Linked DNA regions of Neodiprion lecontei. Each later gene encodes a partner of the first gene's protein in a complex. Links are inferred from orthologs where the notes say so. Each region holds a gene or a part of one and is shown on either strand. Other genes may lie near its edges.

The links.
Region 2: general transcription factor IIF subunit 1 (region 1) and DNA-directed RNA polymerases I, II, and III subunit RPABC3 share a complex: the UniProt entries of both Homo sapiens proteins name them as parts of the TBP-based Pol II pre-initiation complex. The link is inferred for Neodiprion lecontei from reciprocal best matches to the Homo sapiens genes GTF2F1 and POLR2H.

What each region holds. Positions count from the first base shown.
Region 1 is NC_060261.1:26,083,727-26,088,874, forward strand, and holds the start of general transcription factor IIF subunit 1, read right to left. Parts: upstream 3,094-5,148; 5' UTR 2,967-3,093; coding exon 2,943-2,966; intron 2,929-2,942; exon of another isoform or gene 2,826-2,928; coding exon of another isoform or gene 2,823-2,825; intron 2,777-2,822; exon of another isoform or gene 2,659-2,776; intron 1,993-2,658; coding exon 1,946-1,992; intron 1,692-1,945; coding exon 1,320-1,691; intron 825-1,319; coding exon 496-824; intron 29-495; coding exon 1-28. UniProt on the Homo sapiens protein: TFIIF is a general transcription initiation factor that binds to RNA polymerase II and helps to recruit it to the initiation complex in collaboration with TFIIB. It promotes transcription elongation.
Region 2 is NC_060266.1:1,952,374-1,957,395, forward strand, and holds the start of DNA-directed RNA polymerases I, II, and III subunit RPABC3, read right to left. Parts: upstream 3,292-5,022; 5' UTR 3,277-3,291; coding exon 3,198-3,276; intron 1,271-3,197; coding exon 1,187-1,270; intron 399-1,186; exon of another isoform or gene 2-398; intron 1-1. Other genes in the region: protein UBASH3A homolog, read left to right, coding at 3,397-3,537, 4,738-4,943. UniProt on the Homo sapiens protein: DNA-dependent RNA polymerase catalyzes the transcription of DNA into RNA using the four ribonucleoside triphosphates as substrates.

The DNA.
Region 1 (5,148 bases):
TTCTTTTTCTTCTTTTTTTGTGCTTCCTCTACAACAAAAAGTATGGTTCACTCCAAATTCAATTGACCATACCAACATCATCTGTAATTGCGTTCAAGCCAGTGAAAGAAAAGATTAATGTTGAAACAGTGTAGTAATTAAAACTCGAAGTCTACTTCTGAATAAAGTACATAAAGTAATCTATTAGCACGATTATGCAAGAGTTATTGCATCTCACCTAAATGAGTAGTTGTCTGAAGAAAAACAAAGTCTTTTATGAGATCTATGAATCAAGTATGTTGGCTGGAGAAGTTGAAATTCATGAGTAATATTGCAATATTCTGCTATTTGAAACTGAATTTACATAATCATCTCATATAACAAGTTGTAGAATTACTTTCACGCCTGCCTGCTCAGGCCCAAAACTTATCACGCAGCTCCTTCCAAAATTTGCAGTTCTCTGTAATTCTTCAGTCAACGTATCAATGAAGAACTATCAAATGTAAGTAAACTAACCCTTAGCTTTTTTTTTCTTTTTTTTATCATCCTCTTCTTCTTCAGAATTCTTTTTCTCCTTGTCTTCGTCAGAACTCGAATCATCATCGTCACTATCCATCCATTCATCCATTTCTGATATTTTTAATTCCTTTTCTTTTTTACCAAGTTTTTTTCCTTTACCACCTTCAGATAATTCTGGATCATCTTCGGCGCCTTCGTCGTCGTTTCGCATTCTCTTTCGCATCATTAATGAAAAGTAATTCATGACTCTATTCCGCCTACTAAACTCTTGCTCAGCTTCTTCAGCACTCAAAGCTTTATATCTTTGTATTGGCTGGAAATTATACCTATAATTTGAATGAACTAATTTTTCTCACGAAATTGAACAAAAATTGAGATGTAACAGTAAAAATTTTTTTCACCTAGTTTAGTGCTTCTGCAACTAATACCATATGCACAATTACCAAGTTTTTAACGTCTATCATGGTAAACGTAATATTTATAATCGAGAATATTTATTCACTAGTTACATATAGTAAGGACACCGAAATAATGTTGATGGTATCAGAGACAGCAAATAGCTGATAATTTGTGTCGTTAACAACCATTATTAATTTCCTTAGAAATAATCTTCATAGAAGAAAAATACCTCTTGCATTGATAATGTTATTGAGACACTCTCTTGTAACGATATTGCTAAACACTAGCTGCTAGCTTGAGTGAAAATGCTTTTGTTTAGTCTCTAAGGTCTAAATTTTTTATACAGTAGGTTGAAAATTTCACTGAAAAACTAAGAATAAGCTATCAATTTTTTTACGAATTTATGTACTTTGTGAACTTACCATTCATGCAAAGGAAATGCTTCAATGGCACCATCGGGTGCATGAGTGAAAACATAGTATGCTGCATTCTCACTGACTCCACCTTCTCGAATTCCTTTGAACTTCTTCCCTGTTTTACCTCCTGATTTAAGAATCCAAGGCTGATCTTCTGGTTTGTATTTTCTACTTGTTATTCCAAACTTTTTTCGCCTTGCTTCTTCTCTTGCGTCGCGACCAAACTCGGATCCTGCTCCAAACTTTGGCATCTCCTCATCCATTCCTTTATACTCTTTCATGTTATTTTCACGCTCCATCTTGACTTGCGACCATTTTGAAAAGTCAACATTGAGTGTTGCATTAAATCGCATGACATTGTGCTTTTTTTTACTGTTCCTGTGGCAAAAAGGATCGAAATACTGATTAATACAAATCTGTAATAGGATCTTTCATGATGGTATGGGGTACATACTTCTAATGTAGCAAAATGTAAGGTACAAAATTGTGTAACACAAAGTTCACAATATTGGAACATTAAGTATTCGTTTATTCTAAATTTGATAATGTAAAATCAGTCACAGACTGAAGTCAAAATTAGAGTATAATTAATGTCACTCAGGCAAACTTAGTAAAGGAAACAATAGACTTACTTTGGAACTCTGATGCTATATTCTTGTACCGAAGGTACTGCGCCAGGCTGGACACGAAGGATCAAAGAGTATTAGTAAAATGATCAAGTACTGCACATATTACAAAATTAAAATTCATAAATCCAACATTTTTTAAATTTATGGTATATGTACTGATCCTTGGATTGATTCAAACACATTCCAGGCCACCAAGGTAGACTATTATTACTTGTTTAACGTGCAAAACAAACTCTAATGCACATTTTTTCACCTACATACATGCAAGAACCGCGATGCAGGCTATAAGACTGTGCCGCTTCATAGAGACAAAATACGGCTCATGAACGCAAAGAAAATAAACAAGACGGGGTAAATAAATAAGGCAGAATTAATAGGCAAGGAGTTGCAATGCGACAATGAATAGAATACAAAATAAAACAGGAACTTATTCCTCCATGGGAATACATCCCTGAGGTGATATTACGGAAAGTAATTTTAAAGAATTAATATATTTCTAAAATCAAATGTATCAGAAGGGAGATGTCGGGATGACTACAGCTGCGAAGCCAGACACTGGGAAAAATGAACGCACGGCTTGTAATAACTGTCATGAAAAATAACTCGAATCCATTTCAACAGTGGACTGAAATGTTTCAGAATTAATCTAAGGGTCTGTATATGGCAATCAGTACAAAACCAAACATATGAAGTATATGATTACCATGACTACATACCTATAATTATAATTGTGGAGTAACTTACGAAATTCTAAATATTATTATACAATTACGAAATTCTGTTGTCGAATTACTTCTAGCGCGAACAACATTCCATTAGCCTTACATTTCAGTATAACTGTACCAAATATCGCTAAATATATTGCAGTGGTTATGCATACCATATATTATCTTACAATATTAGTACATTGGGTACTGAAATTCATACGATAGTAATTCTAAGAAAAACTTATTGTGATTTCAAATTAATGTTGCGTAAAGATTGTAATGGTAATGAATACCTTCGTCACAGCTGTTGAACTCATTGTTGATTAGTAAGATCGTGAAATAAGTGATTACCAGACCGCATAGTCAAGTCATTCCACTACAGAGCGTACAGAAGGAGGGATATCCTGGAGTTACAAGAAGTGAGCCGATTTTGGCTGCAATTAGTGGTGGCGCTGTGAAACATAAGTTGCCCAACTGACTATAATTTAAGATACAATGAGTGTAACTGTGTAACTAAACATTCAATTTCATCACTCAACTTGGTATCAATCAGTGCTGCGTCGGTTATTTTATGTACCCTTATTTGCATCCAGACTTTGACCATGTTTTGAAAATTATATGCTCTAAGCCTTACTACGACGTCATGGCACTCCACGACGATTTCCAGATGCTAGACACTAGATTCAAACGCGCAAGTATGTACAGCTAGACGCACAGTCAATAATTCTGACTTCTGGGTGATCATGTACCAATTAAGCATCAAAATGCAATGGATCGTGGACATTCAATTGCGCTTTTCGGATTAAACCGGAAAAAGGAAATATTAAGGGTTAAGGTGCCGTTGTCTTCTCTTGTGAATATACATTTCGTGACGTCATAAGCACTTACCACGCTTTTGGAAGTTCAGCGTTAAGCTAAGCTCATTAATTTCATTGGCCTGTTCCGTTAGACCCGACCAATAATGATAATTTCTATGTTATTGTAAACTTGCGGACAATGAATCTGAGACAGCTAATTTTTGACACCAAAAAGTTATGCTGGCAACACAGAAAAACCTACAACGCCATAGTGGGCCGAGCGCGAAACAAACTGAATCTCAATGAACATAACTTAACCCATGACCGTCGAATCTAACCCTAGAATACCGCGGGGATAATGATTTATTGGATTGACACCATAGACTTATAAAAGATAGACTGAGCGCTCTTATGAGTCGCTTGAAGCAAAAATTTAAAGGACAGAAATATACCGGGAGTACTCCTTTCTCTCTCTGACGATATTTGTGGCGGGGATCGAGGCGGTAGAGGAGAATGAAGCGAAATTATGCGCCTATATCTATAGCTGTTCCACTTCCACTACGCCCTTGTCTCCCGGTATGAAACCGATTGAAAAGAGAGAGTAGTACTCCCGACATATCTCTATCCTTTATATGAAGGCTTCAGTACCTCATATAGGAGCGCTCAGTCTATCTTTATAAGTCTATGACAGCCCCCTGACACACGCTGCTAAAAGTGGTTCGCAAAATGTCCCTTGATTCTGCGGCCAATTTCCACCACTAGTGACGCTAGTAGTTACCTGACGAGCTTGCGCGCGGTCAGCGAGGGCAGCGAGCGTTTGAGAAGTCTACTAGCGCCACGTAGAGGACCTAAAAAACGGGGACAAGACGCGTACAATTTTTTAGTATACGAACAGTGGTGAGTGTGACGTCGGAACAGTACCTAGTGGAAATCTCCAGATGTTAGACACCGGAAACATTCACACGCAGCTACAGCTAGGCTCACATCAGTAGTTTGGGTCACCAATTACCGATTAAGTATTGAAATACACCCGACAACGGGCATTCTGTCGCTCTAGTCGAACGAACCGAAGAGGGAGAAATTGTTGGATAAAAGATTTAATTTGGCTTACCTTTTTGAGAGTATTCTGGATGCGATGACTTGTAGATTGGTGAGAGGTTTTAGCGGAATAACTGACTTTAATATTTGGATACTTTGACTAACTTGGTTTATTTTATAAGTTTGATATTTAGAAGTCACAAACGCAGAGTTACACAGTGTAAGATCTTAAACTTAGTATGACAAAATGGAGTTGAAGCTCGCTGAACTTTTGGGCAGAGTAACGTTGTATGAAAGTTTTAATGCAAAAGGCTAAAGGATTTTACCGCGAGACTGTACCGGAACTAGATCACGAATCTGGAGGTAGAAACCGAGAGAGCGATCGAGTGATCGGTCGCCCTTTTTATAGGGGTCGATCGTTGCGCAGAACGATCCCCCTCTCTAGTTTTTTGGTCACCTTTGCGCACCTCCCCTCTTTTCTAGGAATTCTAATTAGGGCACGACATCTTCGCCGCATGCACGCCTGTTATCTTAGCTCTTTAGCTATTACTATATTGTAGGTTTTTACGTATGGTATATCGCTGCTTGGTGCGGTGGTGTAGGTGCGTGGACTTGGTTCCGTAGTTCTCCGAACTGCGTGAGCTTTTCGTTGTGTCGCCAGCCC
Region 2 (5,022 bases), on another chromosome or scaffold:
ATGGGAGGGAGGGGGAGGAAGAGGAAGAATCGGGGCGGGAGGAGAGGCTTGGGGGGGTGGGAGAGGAGGGATTGCGTCATGCCGCGCAAGCCTCGCAGCCCGCACGTCAATACAGCACGCAGGCCTGCCGGCCAAGCCTGCCTCGCTCGGCTTCACCATCGTCGGACGGCCTAGCCCACCATGGCTGCTACTACTGATGTACCACCACCACCACCACCACTGTAGTTTACACTGGCTGCCTCAGGTATCTCACGATCAGTGATACTTGTGTACGTACGTACGTGGGTACGGTCAATACGACGATGAAGATGAAGATGATGACGATGACGAAGGGAGGGTGTAATTGGTTGCCTGACAATTAATATTGGAATCGGAATTCCCCGAGATCATTGATTGTTGTAAGATTTTTGCAAAATTGTCGGCGTGAACGAGGATGATGTTGGTAACGTTAAGGTGAACGATTCATGTTCGGGGAAAATCAACGCTTCGCAATTTTAGGATTTTTTGAAATTTATTAAACCGTGATGAGGGGGGAAAAAACAGAAATCAAACATACTCGTATATTTCGAGAAGTCAACTTCTTGAACGTCATTCAGAAATTACAGGGTAATGATTTTTTTTTTTTTTCTTCACTGACGGTTTCTTGAAGTCAACGTTACTAACTTCAGTCTCGTTGGTGCGGACAGTTCTTTCTCTCTCTATCTACATGTATACCACTTGAACAGGCATTTCTCTGTACCTATCTATGCAAGTGCGCAATTGTTGAAGGTGGTGAGATAAAAAATATCGACGGTAAAACGAAATGATGAGAAAATAACAGTGAAACGATTTATTAAACTGGAACGCAATTTCACCCCTTTTGTCGGAACGATGATGATGATGATAAAGTTAAACTGCCGACGAAGAAATGGATACCCTTTAACGTCGGACAGATGAGAAAATTTCTATTGTACGTTAGGTTTGTATTTTGCAATAAAACAAAAAGCAGAAGAGAATGAGGAAGAAAAAAGAGGGTTGATGAGTCGTGGCTGCACAGGATTACAGTACGCGTTGCGTAATATCAGCGTCGTTATATGAGATCAAGAAGAAGCGGTTCTTTATTGGATTCGATTGAATGAAAATTGAATTATGCTACAGGCGAACTACACGCAGCACACATTCGGCAACATTCACAGATCCTACTCACCCAATTCCATCGGGTACAGCCAACTGTTGATGTCCAGTATAAGGTCCATCTTGAAGGACTCGGATTCGCAATGCAGCCTGGTAACTGAAACGAGAAAAACATAGTTGTACGATATGAGAATTCGAGTAGTGAAATGAAACAGGTTACACAGTGAGCGTAAATCGAAGGGTATTATAACAGGGTAGAATTATCTAGATCCTTTATTTCCGTCTCGTCGATAACTCGATGCGCAAACCGAAAAGTGCGGAACAACGAAGGGCGAGAAAAACCGACTCGACTTGTGCCGTAATTGATCTTCTACTGCTTGGAAAACGACGAAGAAGATGTAAGAAGATGAAGAACCTTGGTGTAGGTGTGTACTGTAGGTGGCGCTGCCCTTGACAGCTGTGACGCAACGGTTCGACCCCCACCACCAACCCCAGAAGACAACAAACGGGGTTGTGATACCCCAACTTGAAACTATGAGCGCCGCCGTCTCGTCAGGATAAAGAAGAAGAGATAGAATCCTGGATAGGGAAACGGAAGGGATAAAAAGTAGGGATAGTGTTACGAGAGAAAAATTAAACATCCCTCGGCGTTTCCTCACCCCCGACTGGCAACCTTCTGTAACGTTTTTCTTCATTTCTTTTCACCTCTCATCGATCTCTTCCACCAGCTACCGGGCAAGACGCAATAGCGGCGAAAAACGTTGGAAGGAAGAATGAACCGTACCGCGAGATAGAAAAATACTCTGGAAGCGGGTTGAAAGATGTTGAAAACCGAATGCGGATCTCGTAATTATAAATCGAATTAACGGTAAGAAACGGGCAGACTGGTCCGTTGATTTTTTTTTTTTCAGACGATGTCAAAATATCAGAAAAATGAATCGACGAATGAACGAACTCTTCGATTCATGTTCACAAGATTGTTCCCGAAAAAAATGAAGTGTTGGAATTGAAATCGATCTTCATTATTTTCTTCGCATTTTTATCCTTCTTATCGTGATATGGACAGATGATGGTCTGAAAACACTAAAGTCAAGGAGGAGGATTACAGCTGTCATGAGGCCTGTGAAACGAGTGTATAAAACTAACCTAACCTAACTTTACAAATTCAAACGAAAGAATTCGAGGCAGCCAAATCCAACAAAGAATCAAAGAAAAAAAGAAACGTGTATAATCGAACAGAGAAGAAAGAACGTTTCGATCGATTGCGACATCCAGGTAGTTGGGCACCTAGATACAGATGTCGTATCGGATCGGATCCGGGATCAAGCTGCGCCAGCTGGTACCGCGACACAACAGGGACAGAAATGACAGATCGATACAAGCGAGTAGTGGCGATAATCAAAAATCGCATGCCATGAGTACCCGAGGGTGCAATTTAATTTTGTTACAGTCACGTTCGTACGTCAAGTAAAAATCATTCTTCGTCAATTATCGAGATCAGAACCGGCGCAGTCCGCACTGAAAAATTAGTCCGAGGTATAAAAGTCGCGCGTAATCGATCCTCGGGTCCATCTTCTAGCTGAAAAAATTCACTATCCAGCCAAGCTGCGCGAGTGTAGAGATCAACGAGACTCGAAACACTTCGTTGGCATGATATTGTTGAACAAGTACCGTAACTAACAAACCAAAAGAAGAAAAAAAAAGCTCCAGAGTTCGACATGAAACGCGTACGGTGTGACATTGGTTTGATATGTTCATCGTAATTTCTCTGTCTTTCGTTTCGTTTCGATTTTGGTAGGATGTATTGGAACGATATGCATGAAGTGATATAGAGAGAGAATATCTTCTCCCCATCCATCTATAATCTATATCCCTGCCTCCCTGCCTGTCCCTGAAAAATTGGAAACCCTACCCCGTATCGAAGTTTGTGCCCCAGAGAGCCGCTAGCGAGGAAGAAGATCAGTCTGAATCGCGTCAAGTTGCATCCCTTATTTACAGTCTAGTACATATGTACACAGCGTATGTACCTAGCGGCCTGCACGGTTACCGTCGTACGTAACATAACATAACGTAACATGACTGACATAACCAACTCTCCTCCTCTCCGAACGTCGCACTACCACTCCGATGAGAGACTGTTTCGAAACTGTTCGCAGGGTTCATCCCTGTCCCTGACGAGCCCTGCTTTCCTGCGCCACGCCACCTCCCCCATCGTCAACCCCTGTGCCCTCGCACCCCGTTTCCACCTGACCCGCGGTGTGCAGCGAGGGAGGTGGAGGAGAGATGAGGAGGAATCGACCGACGAAAGGGGGGGGTGGGGGGGAGGGAGAGGAGTATAATGTAAGTGACGTACACCCCGTACACCCCCTACATCCCTCTTTTTTCATCAGCATCGTTTTGCAGTGCATCGGAATCTCCTGGAAGGTACGTTCAATGATTCCGAAAAATCGTTATCCCATCATTTGCAGCATACCGGTATACTATCATCTTCAATTCGGAGGAGAAGTTACGCCCGGGCGAGAAGTTACGCAGAGTAATGGATTGCATTTCTTACATTTCACATCTGGCAGCGTACGGGGTAGAGTTTTGTTATTCGTTTCTTATACATGCGACAATTCTCGTTGCTGGATGTTTTCGTAAGGCTGATATTTTTACTTCGTTTTCCGCGACGTGAATCACCGCTGCATCGGACACGTTTATTCATTTATACACATGAGCTTGGGTATATCCTACAAGCGGCTGTGCACGCAATATTCTAAGCTTCGCGATATATATAATATATATATGTATATATTTTTACATAAAAATACTTCATCTTTTTTCTTCGTGTGGGCAAACGCCTTGAAGCATTTCACAGAATCGTTCATGCACGCGGTTGCCTTTTCATACCGACATGTATAACGCGTGTATGTACAATATAAGCGGTTAAGTCGCGTTGTTGATTTCGCTGACCACAAATCGCTAAGGAATATATTCATGATGCATCGACAATAATACAACCAAGTTACGACCGTCGCGGACATGTGGTACGATCCTTTTTCGAACGTCTTAATCTCGATTGACGTGAAGTTGATTTACACCAGCCGATCAACTCGTGTCAAAACTCATAAATTTTATTCTTATTTAGTGAACAATATAAAGCATTAATCATTCCGCGAAGTTGTAACTACACGCTGCACCATCGCATGTTATTATTGTAAAAGCGGTATGTTTACTCTACGATAATCGACAAACGTAAACGTCTTAGGCGCTAATGAAAAAACCTCGACATTCATAAAGCATCGCTTTGAAATCTTCATCCATTTTCAGTCTTTACCCATATTTGACAATTAACCTGCAGGTAAAATCGATGCTAGGATTATTCAAGGTCACCGATCATTTTCCTCGTCCGAAATCCCTGTCGTCATTCTCGTACGTTATAAGTCCATGATGTTCAGTGAAAAAATCCGTAACAAGTCCGACGATATTTCCAGGACATTTTCGGCTTATCGAAGGACATTAAATATAGAATAATTCCAGGACACATGAAAAATTCAAGGACAGTTTCAAGGACTTTTGAACGAGAAGTCAAATTCAAGAAAATTTTCAGGTTTTTCAAGGGCATTAAAAATAGAACGTTTCCAGGACACGAGAAAAATTCAAGGGCAGTTTCAAGTACTTTTCAAGGACAAGTCAAATTCAAGGACGTTTCCAGGACCACCGGACGCGATGTATACCGACGCACTACTCTCGTGTATGAATATTCTGACCGCATCAGGTCCTGCAACCACCTCTGCAGAAACAAAACCACCACCAAGTTGTCCTGCGAGCACTGCTACATCCGGCACCAGGTAATGTGAAATAGAAACATCATCCTTTACCCCGTCATATGGTGTTCGGTACACGTTGCCTGTGACATTGGGTCTTTGG